3 linked regions of the Oryctolagus cuniculus genome follow. The protein of the gene in region 3 interacts with the protein of the main gene of each other region in a biochemical or structural test. Links are inferred from orthologs where the notes say so. Each region holds a gene or a part of one and is shown on either strand. Other genes may lie near its edges. The genes, in order: RARA, RXRA and TRIM24.

Evidence for each region.
Region 1: the proteins of TRIM24 (region 3) and RARA form a complex in vitro, tested with the Homo sapiens proteins (3 studies listed by BioGRID). The link is inferred for Oryctolagus cuniculus from reciprocal best matches to the Homo sapiens genes TRIM24 and RARA.
Region 2: the proteins of TRIM24 (region 3) and RXRA form a complex in vitro, tested with the Homo sapiens proteins (3 studies listed by BioGRID). The link is inferred for Oryctolagus cuniculus from reciprocal best matches to the Homo sapiens genes TRIM24 and RXRA.

What each region holds. Positions count from the first base shown.
Region 1 is NC_091448.1:22,126,369-22,130,766, reverse strand, and holds the start of RARA (retinoic acid receptor alpha), read left to right. Parts: upstream 1-1,496; 5' UTR 1,497-1,511; coding exon 1,512-1,728; intron 1,729-3,012; coding exon 3,013-3,161; intron 3,162-4,378; coding exon 4,379-4,398. UniProt on the Homo sapiens protein: Receptor for retinoic acid. Retinoic acid receptors bind as heterodimers to their target response elements in response to their ligands, all-trans or 9-cis retinoic acid, and regulate gene expression in various biological processes.
Region 2 is NC_091432.1:235,969,295-235,972,934, forward strand, and holds part of RXRA (retinoic acid receptor RXR-alpha), read left to right. Parts: intron 1-448; exon of another isoform or gene 449-596; intron 597-685; coding exon 686-836; intron 837-2,016; coding exon 2,017-2,196; intron 2,197-3,640. UniProt on the Homo sapiens protein: Receptor for retinoic acid that acts as a transcription factor.
Region 3 is NC_091434.1:185,293,324-185,296,963, reverse strand, and holds part of TRIM24 (transcription intermediary factor 1-alpha), read left to right. Parts: intron 1-168; coding exon 169-241; intron 242-1,208; coding exon 1,209-1,377; intron 1,378-3,640. UniProt on the Homo sapiens protein: Transcriptional coactivator that interacts with numerous nuclear receptors and coactivators and modulates the transcription of target genes.

The sequences.
Region 1 (4,398 bases), on a different chromosome or scaffold from region 3:
TATGGAGTTTGTGGGGGCAATGTTAGCCACCCTGGAAGGAGCCCGTTGGTGTGGGTGGAGGTCTCCCAGCGCCTGGACCTGCCTTGCAGCCCCTCCCTGAGAATTCTCCCCTCCCCCTTCCCCTCTGCCAAGGGTTGCAGGAGAGGCTTAGCTGTGGCAGGAGACCTTTTGGGTCTTGCAGGGCCCTGGACCTTGCCCCCCCCCCCGCAGTCCCCTTCTCATGCACTAGAGAACAAGGGGTGCACAGGACGTGGCTCCCCATCTGTCCCCCACCCGTCTGCGCCGCTCACGCCTCCACCCGCTCCCAGACGTCCAAGAATGTGAAGCACGTGGATGCCCGTAGTGGGGGGAGGGGGAGATGCTTATCAGCCGGCCGCTGGGCTAGGGGCCTTCTTCCGCCGCCGGGCTACACCCGGAGCCACCCCCACCCGCTTCCCAGGAGGAGGAAGGGCAGCACCGAGGGCCCAGAGCCCACTCCCCAGCCCTCCCCGGGGGCTGTTTAGGGAGCTGCAGAGGAGAGGGCGCCAGCTGGATTGGGAAGGGGAGTCGCTGGCCGGGGGCCCGGCTGATTTCCTGCTGATCTCCTCCAGGAAACCGGCCCCTTGTGCGAGCCTGCGAACGAACGGCTCTGGGGCGTGGGGAATCCGGAGCGCTCAGCTCGCCCGGCGGCCAGGAGGGAGGTGCGGGGGAGGGGCGCCCTGGCGGCGGCGGGAGGGGACGCCTGGCTTCCTGGTCCGCTTCCAGCCCTCCGCTGGGCGCTGGAACTTTGAGCTGAGAAGGTGTGGTTCTTCTCCCGCCTGAGCCCTTCTGCAGCTGGAGAGGGATTTGTGGGCCAGGGCCTCTGGGTAGGGAGGTTAGGGGAGAGGCCGGGTCGGGCGGCCTCTCCCTGCCTCTCCCGAGTGCAGGAGTTCCTGCTGTATCCTAACTCGCGCAGAAACTGAGGGGCGCCTGGGGTCCCTCACACTTTTGCCTTGGGTCGTTTTACCTGGTCTTCCTAGGCTGCGGGCTGGAGGCCTTGGCCCCAAGCTCTGGATTCAAAGGGCAGAGCCAGAAACCTCAGAGCTGGGTTACCTGGGAGAAAGGTGGGGATATTCTCAGGCTGGGGTGTTGCAGCCTCAAGGGCCTGCGGTCAGTGGCCGGAAGGGAGGTGGGAGGTGTCACCGAGTCCGAACTGTAGCCCCTGCGTGGGTTGTCTCCCCCGTCTTGCCAAAGATCATTTTAAAAAGCACTTTCCTCCAGTTCTGCACACACCCTCTGGACTTTGCCTTAGCTCCCAATTTCTGTGTGCCTTTCCCGGGCCTTAGAGCCCTGCCTCTCCCCGGGCCCCGCCTCCCGGCCTCCACTCTGCTCCCTGCCCCCTGCCCCCTGGGTCCTGCCGCTGCTGCTGGTCTGGCTCATTTTTGGGGTGGGGCCTTGGGAGGAGGCGGGGCCCAGGGCAAAGGGTGGATTAACAAGGGAGGCCAGTGCCTTCTTCCTCTGCTTGTTGGAATGCTGAGCGGGGATTCTAGGCCATGGCTGCCCCCCCCATGTCCTTGACACCCCCCCCCCCAGTCTGGATTGTCTATTGTTACTGTTTTTACGTCTTGGAAAAAGTTAGCACAACAAAGGGCTTCTTTGTGGCTCACCCCTCTGCCTCCTGGCCTCACCCAGGCCCCCCAACCCCAACCCCCCCCCCCCCAGCAGCTGTCCTCAGGCCTCCCTGCCTGTCTGATTTGCTTGTCTGGCCTGGTGAGAATGAGATGGGGGGGAAAACCAGGGCGGTTGGGTGTGGGGATGAGGAGCTGAGGTTCTGGGAGAGGTCAGTGAGGAGTGAATCTGTGGACCAGTGGGGGACAGCATCTACTGTCCCTTTGCTGCAGGCTGGTCTCTGGGCAGGGCAGGGCTGTCAGGCTGATGTGGGCTCTGGTGCCAAGGCTGTTAGCCTGGGTCTCGGGCGTGTCTGCGGCTAAGGGGTGACGCGCGGCCGTGAGGTGTTTGAGCCAGGAGCTGTGGGCTGGGGCGTGGAGCTGGGCTGTCAGGATCGCATCCTCACCCTTCCTAGGCCTTGCACAGGTGGAGGTGGCCAGGGCTGCAGGAGAAGCTGTACGGTTCTCATCCAGCACACTGCACCCCCCACCCCTGCCAGCCCATCCCTGTTCTGCCTGGGGCGATGGCAGAGAGCCAGGCACTGGGGAGGCTTTGGTCAGTGGGGGACAGCTCCTGCTGGCTAGGTCACCCCTCCTGGCTGCCCTCTGGGGGCTGAATTAACAGGAGGGGAGGGGTGGTAACCCGGACATACTGTTGAAGCCAGACAGACAGAGCATTGATGGGAACAGACCCCCCTTTGTCATGCTGCCTCCCCTGAGGCAGGGGGCACCCAGGGTGATGGGCTTCTAGGGCTCTGTCCCCAGGTGGTCTCTCCACCTATCTCAGGGGACCCCCACCTGCTGTGCCCCAGCCTTCGGGATTCTTCTTTGTACACCCGCCTGGGTCTGCCTGGGTCCTCGGCCTGGGGATTGTTTGGGTGGAGGAGGGGCCCTGGCTGTTGGCAGAGGGGGGTGGAGGGAGGGGCAAGCGGAAGCAGAGGGGGTGAGGGAGTGGCTGGCTTTGAATATCCTGTTGACCCCCATTTCCTCTGCCCCCAGCTTGTGTCTTCTCTCCTCCCTCCTCATCCAGCCTTAACTCCTTCCTAACTTGGGGGAGTACCGGCCAGGCCACCCGAGGCAAGGCCTAAGAATAGGGCCGGACCACCTCCTCCCAGGCAGAGCCCAGTACACAACACACACCCACATCTGATGGTTTATGATCTCAGCTTTCTGTGTTGAGGACGGGGTCCTGGGGAAGTAGACGGGCGTGATGGGGTCCCAAGGCTTCCCCCAAGCTTGACTGGGGAGTCCCAGCTTTCCCGAGACCGTCCCTGCCAGCAGTAGTGAGGCTGGGAGAGGCTCTGGAGGGAGACCCTGAGCAGGGCGGGGCAGGGCATCAGGGATGGCGCCTGGTCTCTAACCGCCCCCTCCCTTTCTCTCTCTCCAGCCATTGAGACCCAGAGCAGCAGTTCGGAAGAGATAGTGCCCAGCCCTCCCTCGCCACCCCCCCTCCCCCGCATCTACAAGCCCTGCTTTGTCTGCCAAGACAAATCCTCTGGCTACCACTATGGGGTCAGCGCCTGTGAGGGCTGCAAGGTGAGACTGGGGACTCTGGGAAGGGCAGTCTTGCTTAGATAAATGGGATGTCCCCGCTGTCACGCCCTGGGAGAATTCGGTTGAGGGCAGGGGCTGTCCCTGATGCTGCTGCTCTTGCTTGTGTGTGGAAGTTGCCAGCAGCCTTGAAGGAGGAGGGGGTGCCAGCAACAGAAGCTCCCCCATAGATGAGCAGGGCTCCCCCCAAACCAGAGGCCCCCTCCTGCCCGAGCTCCCCCCGCCCCCGTCTCCATGCTCCAGCCGGCAGGGCGTGCTCCGCTCTGCCACCGCTGCCCAGGTTGCCATGGTGAGCTGGCTGCCGACCGGCTCTTGGCTGGGGACCCAGGAGGCCTGCCCCCGGCGGCCCTGCCTGCACCTCGCCATGACAGCCTGGCAGGCGGCAGTTAGGAGCGGAACCCTGCCTCGGCTTCCCCTACAGGTGCTGAGGCTGTGGGCTCCCCAGCGTCTGCATTTTTCCCGTCCTCATGTTAGGCCCCAGCAGCTCTGGGCCTGGCTGGTCCTCTTCCTAGGACCAGAGCCTCCACACCAGTTTCTCTCTCTAGATATTAGGGTTTGGAAGCTGTACAGTCTTGGGGCTCTGGGCTGCCCATCAGCTACCTGTCGGTGTGGGACACAGGTTCAGGGCACAGCTCAGGACCTAGACTGTGTGTGTCTGCCTGCTCTGTCAGGTCGTTTCTGACTTGTTCCTCATCTGTGTCCCTGGGGAGCCTGGGTGTGGGGCCTCTGACCAGCCCGGGTCCATCTCTGAGTGCTTCATGCACGTCTGTCCGGGTGGTGACTGGGTCTTGCCACCTGGCTCCTGAGCGTGTGTGAGTGCATGAGTGCCTCCGTCTCTGGCCAGCTCACGTGTCTGAGTCCAGGCTGTGGGCTCCAGATTCCCGCCTCTGTCCCAGCCAGCCCCACGGGTTACAATTCCTGACTCAGCAGCAGCCCGAGGTCCTTCTCCCTAGAGGGAAGGGGTCAGGTGTGTGGATGGAGGCTGGGGGAAGACTCCTGCCCACCTCGTAGCGCTGAGGCAGTAGCGGGCTTCTCCCAGGGGTGACTCATCGCCCCATCTTTTCTGGCCTGCTCAGGGGGGTGATGGGCGAAGGCTTGGGAGCAGCCGCTGGCCTGGCCCACTTTCCCCAGCTGCGACTGCCGGCTGGGCGCCACTCCCGCTGTGGGTGTTGGTGACCTGACTCTCCCCTCTCCGTGCCCAGGGCTTCTTCCGCCGCAGCAT
Region 2 (3,640 bases), on a different chromosome or scaffold from region 3:
GGCTTTGGGCGCTTTGTGCGTGCTGGCTTCTGCAGGGGGCTCTTCCTGTCCCTGGAGACGGGGTGGGGCTGGGCAGCGAGAGGAGGGGAAGGCGAGAGCTTCCCTCTGCCGGAGGCGGCCTGGAGCCAGCCGCGGGCGACTCAGCAGCTTTCCGAGTCATTGGGGGTTTGCAGAAGCGGAGATGGGGGCTGCTGCCGGGCTGGGGTCCCGCCAGCGGTGCCGGCGGCGGCGGGCAGGCGCGAGGCAGTGGGAAGTGTCTCCTGGCCCTTTGCGCTGACTGCAGAGCTGGGCGGAGGCAGCGGAACCAAAACTGCTGTGTCATTGCGACGCGGCAGCTGTTGCCAGGGTGACCGGGTGAGTTTCCCACGCTCGCCCCGGCGGGGCGGGCAGGCGGGGCGGGTGGCCCGGCGGGCCAGGGAGGAGTGCAAGGCCGCAAGGTGGCCCTGCCCCAGACGCAGGCGGTGTCTGTGCCCTCTCCCGGGTCACGTGACCGGGGACCCCGCCCCAGCTGGCCCCGCAGGGCAGTGGGGGAGCCCAGCTCTCCTCCCTCCAGGAGGCCTCTGGGGTCTCCTTGATGAGAGGCTGCCTGTGGTCAGGTGGGCGCCGGGCAGGGGCCGACAGGGGTGGGGTCGGCCATGTGTCTGGGCTGAGAGTCACCTGGTCACCCCCCTCCCCGCCTCCGCAGCTGAACTCACCCATGAACCCCGTGAGCAGCAGCGAGGACATCAAGCCCCCCCTGGGCCTCAATGGCGTCCTCAAAGTCCCCACGCACCCCTCGGGGAACATGGCTTCCTTCACCAAGCACATCTGTGCCATCTGCGGGGACCGCTCCTCAGGTAGGGCCTGGCGGGGGGACCCGCGCCCGGAGTCGGGGCGTCTGGGGCCTGGGGAAGGGTCCCCCTGGGTAGCCCACGGCGGCCCAGATGCCCCTCCCCAGCCGGCTCCCCTGTGGCCGGGAGCGGGTCTGCCCCCCCCCCCAGTGGGGAGGGCGAGGCGGGGCCCAGCTTACGCCCAGGCAGGCTCAGGAGCCCAGGGTCTCTTGGAGTCCGTTTTGTCCACGGACAGAACTCGCGTGGGGGCACGGGGCCCTCGCTCCCTGAGGCCACTGAAATTGTCCAGGTGTCCAGCCACACTTGCCCCCACCCCCGCCTGCAGAGTGACCAGCCTGCTGCTGGCCCTGGCCTCGGCCCTCGTGTCCGAGCCCCGCCCCCACCCCACACCCCGGCAGTCCCTCAGCAGCCCTGTGCCGGCAGGCAAGCACCCTGGTGTGTAGAGCTGCGGGCCGTGTCTGAGCCCCTCCCCCATGTCTGAGGCCCTGCCCCCTGGTCCAAGGGCCCGCCCCCATCTGAGGACCCTCCCTGTGTCTGAAGCCCCTCCCCCAGGTCTGAGCCCCTCCTCCCCGTGTCCAGGCCCTCCCCGTGTCCCTTCCCCCGTGCCTGAGGCCCCCTCCCCGTGCCCGAGGCCCCCTCCCCCTGCCCCCCCTCCGTGCCCCAGGCCCCGCCCCTGGCTCATGGCCCCGCCCCGCAGGCAAGCACTACAGCGTGTACAGCTGCGAGGGCTGTGTCCAAGCCCTCCCCGTGCCCCCCCCCGTGCCTGAGGCCCCCTCCCCGTGCCCGAGGCCCCCTCCCCCTGCCCCCCCTCCGTGCCCCAGGCCCCGCCCCTGGCTCATGGCCCCGCCCCGCAGGCAAGCACTACAGCGTGTACAGCTGCGAGGGCTGTGTCCAAGCCCTCCCCGTGCCCCCCCCCCGTGCCTGAGGCCCCCTCCCCGTGTCCGAGCCCTCCCCCTGCCCCCCCTCCGTGCCCCAGGCCCCGCCCCCGGCCCCGCCCCGCAGGCAAGCACTACAGCGTGTACAGCTGCGAGGGCTGTGTCCAAGCCCTCCCTGTGCCCCCCCCCGTGCCTGAGGCCCCCTCCCCGTGTCCGAGCCCTCCCCGTGCCCCCTCCCCGTGCCCCAGGCCCCCTCCCTGTGCCCCCCCAGGCCCCAGGCCCTGCCCCCGGCTCACGGCCCCGCCCCGCAGGCAAGCACTACGGCGTGTACAGCTGCGAGGGCTGCAAGGGCTTCTTCAAGCGCACGGTGCGCAAGGACCTGACCTACACCTGCCGCGACAACAAGGACTGCCTGATCGACAAGCGGCAGCGGAACCGGTGCCAGTACTGCCGCTACCAGAAGTGCCTGGCCATGGGCATGAAGCGGGAAGGTAGGCCCGGGTGGGGGCGGGGTGGGGGCGGGGCCCTGCTCCACCGGCCACGCCCAGCACAGCACCCAGGCCCGAGCTCATCCAGCGCTGCTGCTGCTGTATGGTGGGCGGGGCTTCCCGGGAGAGGCGGGGCTTCCCTGGGAGAGGCGGGGCTTCCTGGGAGAGGCGGGGCTTCCCTGGGAGAGGCGGGGCTTCCTGGGAGAGGCGGGGCTTCCTGGGAGAGGCGGGGCTTCCCTGGGAGAGGCGGGGCTTCCCTGGGAGAGGCGGGGCTTCCTGGGAGAGGTGGGGATTCCTGGGAGAGGCGGGGCTTCCCCGGGAGAGGCGGGGCTTCCTGGGAGAGGCAGAGCTTCCCCAGGAGAGGCGGGGCTTCCTGGGAGAGGTGAGGCTTCCTGGGAGAGGCGGGGCTTCCTGGGAGAGGCGGGACTGGGTAGTGCTGGGGGCGGGGCCCTGCTCTCTGAGGGGGCAGGTAGCTCTCAGGGCAGCACTGGGCACTTGCTGTCTGCCAGGCCCTGGGATTAGCGAGGAGACGGGGCAGACTGGCCGCTGTCCCCCACCTTCCCTGGTGGCGTCCGTGCTGGGGGACGGAGCAGTGAGTGGGCTCCGGGAGTCGGGCAGCCTGGAGCGAGCCTTCCGGAGAGCACGTGGGGCCACGGGCAGGAGCCGGGGAGAAGAGTGGGTGCCCCGAGCCCTGGGCTGCGTCCCGCTCTCCGGCTGTGACCGGCTGTGCCCGGTGAAGGGAGGGTGATGTTGGGGCGCCGCCTGAGACCTGTGGGCTGTCGCCACGCCCGCTGGCCGGCAGGGTGGGGGCATCGTCCCGCACTCTGCTTCCTCATGGGGCCCCTCCTGCCCCTGCCCGGGGTCGCCGCCTGCAGGAGGCGCCTCAGGCCCCGCTCAGGGCTTTGAAGCCGTTGTGCTGGCGGAACTTGGTGTGGGGAGTGGGTGGCAGGGAGGCCACTCCCCTGAGGTCACTGAGAGCCCAGGCGTCCAGCCAGGCGTGGGCTGCGGTTGCCGCAGTGCCTGTTCCCGTGGTCTCACACGTGTGTGTCAGTTCTGTGGCTGCTCCCGTGGTCTCACACGTGTGGGTGTCTGTTCTGTGGCTGCTCCCGTGGTCTCACACGTGTGTGTCAGTTCTGTGGCTGCTCCCGTGGTCTCACACGTGTGTGTTCTGTGGCTGCTCCTGTGGCCTCACATGCGTATGTCTGTTCTGTGGCTGCTCCCGTGGTCTCACACACGTGTCTTGCTTCCTTCCCCCTGGCCCCTGATGGACGGGGCCCCGTGGGCTCTCTGCCAACGCCTCCCTGTTGAGCTGTGGCCCCAGTGGGGCCAGGGAGCTACAGACATCACGTTGCTTTGTGGGTTTGTGTGTGTGTATGCACACCTGTGTGTACATGTATGTATGGGCACGGGCATGTGTGTATATATGTGTGTATGCAGGTGTGTGTAT
Region 3 (3,640 bases):
TCCAGTAAGATCTAAAAGCCTGTGCTAGGAGTTCGGCAACTACTTGGTTCATGTAATATCATTATGTGTTCCTAGTTTGAAGGTAGTGCTAAGTGAGCACATTCAGTCGGATTTCAGTACGTGATGATTAACTCGTTTTATGAATGTGTATGATTTCCCCCTCCTCAGGACCTGTCACTATGACTAGTGTACATCCCCCAATTCGTTCACCTAGTGCCTCCAGCATTGGGAGCCGAGGAAGGTAAACGGACTTAACCATATTCTCTAGCACATGAAATTTCTAAGTAGTAGCTCCTGCCAGTGCTCAGCACAATCGGATACTCAGAATATTCTGAACAACTTCCTTTATTTTTCACTTTTAGTTGAAATTTTAATCATTCTATTTTAATTTAATAAATGAATTGAGCATAAATTTATCTTTAAAATATTTACCTATATGTTGAAAATAAAATGTTTGACATTAGCATCAGAGCAAGGGAGGAAAAAGGTGAAACAGGAATAAAAACACACTGCACTATATAGAGACACAAACAGGGAAACAAATGATAATCTTATAACAATTTCAATGTTCTCTAACTTTGCTACTTTAAAAAGAAATAAATTTACATTTTTTGCAAATGTAGTGTAGTCTTCCCCTCATTGTGCTTACAGTTAGTCCTAGATGGTGAATCCGATTCTTGCTTAGCTCATGTGGAGGAAGCATTCTCTGAGGGGAGAAACCTGTTGGCCTTTCTTCCGGGGAGGGTAGCAGCTGTCCGTAGAAGGTTTTTGCCCCACTGCCTTCTTGAAATAGCAGAACAGCAATAAACGGTTGTGTAGTTCATTGTCTTCACACTTCAACAACAAGTTGTTAGTGTGAGTTGTCATAGCTACTGACCAGCTGAGAAATGGGACAACCTAAGAAAGATGTTCGTTCTGAGATACTGTATCTGCTTGCCAATTTTAGAACTCAGTTATCTTTCAATGCAGGGTTTATGTCAACATCTTCCCACACGCAGTATGTGGTTGTCTAGAGAGGTTAGCATGTGAACCTTCTTATCAGAGGGGATGCTTTTGCATCACGGCAGTTGCATTTCAGTTACGCACCGCTTATTGCTGATGTAGCAGTTGGCATGATTGTGGTGGTTTTTCCAGAAGTTGATTGCATATATGGTTGTGACGTCTAACGTGGCATTCTTAGTTCTTTCCTTCTCTCGTTCTGCTTGCAGCTCTGGCTCCTCCAGCAAACCAGCAGGAGCAGATTCTACACATAAAGTGCCAGTGGTCATGTTGGAGCCGATCCGAATAAAACAGGAAAACAGTGGACCACCTGAGAATTACGATTTTCCTGTTGTTATAGTGAAACAAGAATCTGATGAGGAATCTAGGCCTCAAAATGTAATTATTTTAGTGCTTGGTATGCTATTTCTATTTGGGGAGTGGGGTATGAGAAATAGCTCTTAAGGTTTAAAAAAAAAAGCCCTATATATCTTTAAAGGTTTTAAGAAATTTTTAGGAAATCGCAGTAAACAAAAAGATAAGATGGAAGACAAGAAAAGAAATGTTTGAAAAATCAGAGGCTCAAATGAAGAGGCTAGGCTTTTGGGGTAAAATAAAAGAGAAATGAATAGTAGTTAAATTGCTGAAGAAATAATAAAAGATTATGTTCTGGTAACTGAAGGGCCCAAGAATCTGAATGGAAAGGACCCACCAAGAACCGGAACCATAAATGAAAAAGATTCAAGGCATATTATTACAAATTCCAGAACACCAGAGGAAAGGCAGATTCTAAATCGTTTCTAGGGAGAGAAGCCTCTTAAACAAAAGGGTTAAAAATCATATTGTTAACAGACACTAGAACCTGGAAGAGAATGAAGAAGTAGCTAAAGTATGACAAAGTATTTTTAAGACATATTTACTTATTTAAAAAGAGCAACAGAGAGAGGTGTGGTTTTTTTGTTTGTTTGTTTTTAAATAAATCCCTTGATTCACTCCCCAAATGGCCACAACAGCCAGGTCTGAGCCAGGCTGAAGCCAGGAGCCAGAAACTGTTCTGGCCTCCCACATCAGAGGCAAAGACCCAATTCCTTGCCCGTCTTCTGTGCCTTTCCAGGGATGCATTAGCAGGAAGCCGGGTCAGAAGTGCAGCTGTCTCTGGCATTGCAAGCAGCAGCTTAACCCACTGCTTTGCAACACGGGCCCTGGAAACAGAATTTTCTAAACAAAATGTTTTACTTAGAAAAAATTTATTATGCATGAAGACTAAATATTATGAGACGTCTACAAAAGTCTCAGACAGTTGTCCACATACACATTTTCCAGGTGTGTATACACATATAGGAAAGCAAAAGCTCTCTGGGATCTTACGCAGAGCCAGAAAAGGGCAGGTTCCAGTAGAGTGGTCTGCAGTGTGGACGACTGTGGGCTCCATAAGGTTGCATCTGTAGTGACAGAAATGTTTGCGCAGTATTGAAGTATTTTATAACCTTGTGGAGACTGTGAAAATGACATAGATAAAGGTGTCTGGAAAAATATGCAAGTAAAAAAATAAGGTGATTATTTTTTGTAAAAAACAAAAGTTGTACAGAAAGGGAAATGTAGTCAGTACATTTTTGATTTTGCGATGAACTGTATTTGTATCATCATGGTGTAAACAAACACCTGAATGTAGATGAGTTGAGACCTGTGACACAATCAAGATATAACCTGAATTTGCTTTAATCAAAATCTTTGAGAATCCTTGAACCAGTACATATAGTTACTGATCGTTTGGAATAAATGCTAGCTATAAACCATTATATGCATACCATCTAGAAATTCTGTGCTGAATAAAAACTGCTAGGAGGGCGGGATGCATGCTGGTGGTGCTAGTAGTTGTGAGGGTAGAGTCAGAATGCAGAAACTGACCCTACTCATCTTCCCTAGTAGGGATTTTGTAAAGCAAGTCTACGTACATACCAAATATACACACACAATACATATAGCAAGGCCATGCAACATACATGGCAATAGAAAACCCAAGAAATTATAGATTGTACAGGCATTTTATTTAGTCCTGTAACATAAGGAAAGGCTAGATGCAAAAACAGTTGTCCCCAAAGAATGAGTCGAGATGGTTCTGTTACTGGTTTGAAAGTTTGCCACCTGAGGCTTGTGCAGAATGTTTAGATTCCTACCAGAGGTTTCGTGTCTTAGGTAGAATCTGGGTGAACAGCCCTCGTCCCGTGTATCTACAGCTCACTGAAGTTCACTTGCACATCACCTCTTCACTCTGCTGCAGCCATCAGCAGATTCAGAGGTTTTCTTTTCCCCTCTATTGTGCACACCCCTTGCTGCTGCTGACCTATTTTGATATTTTTTATTAGTCTTCTGTAAAACCTATCTTGTTCTCTCACACATTCACAGACTCCCTTGAAGTAAGTAACCAGTTCATCAAGAGACAGGAATGTGCAGTCTGCAATCATGGAAATGCTAATTTAAAAAGCCAATTAGGCCGGCGCCGCGGCTCACTAGGCTAATCCTCCGCCTAGCGGCGCCGGCACACCGGGTTCTAGTCCCGGTTGGGGCGCCGGATTCTGTCCCGGTTGCCCCTCTTCCAGGCCAGCCCTCTGCTGTGGCCAGGGAGTGCAGTGGAGGATGGCCCAGGTACTTGGGCCCTGCA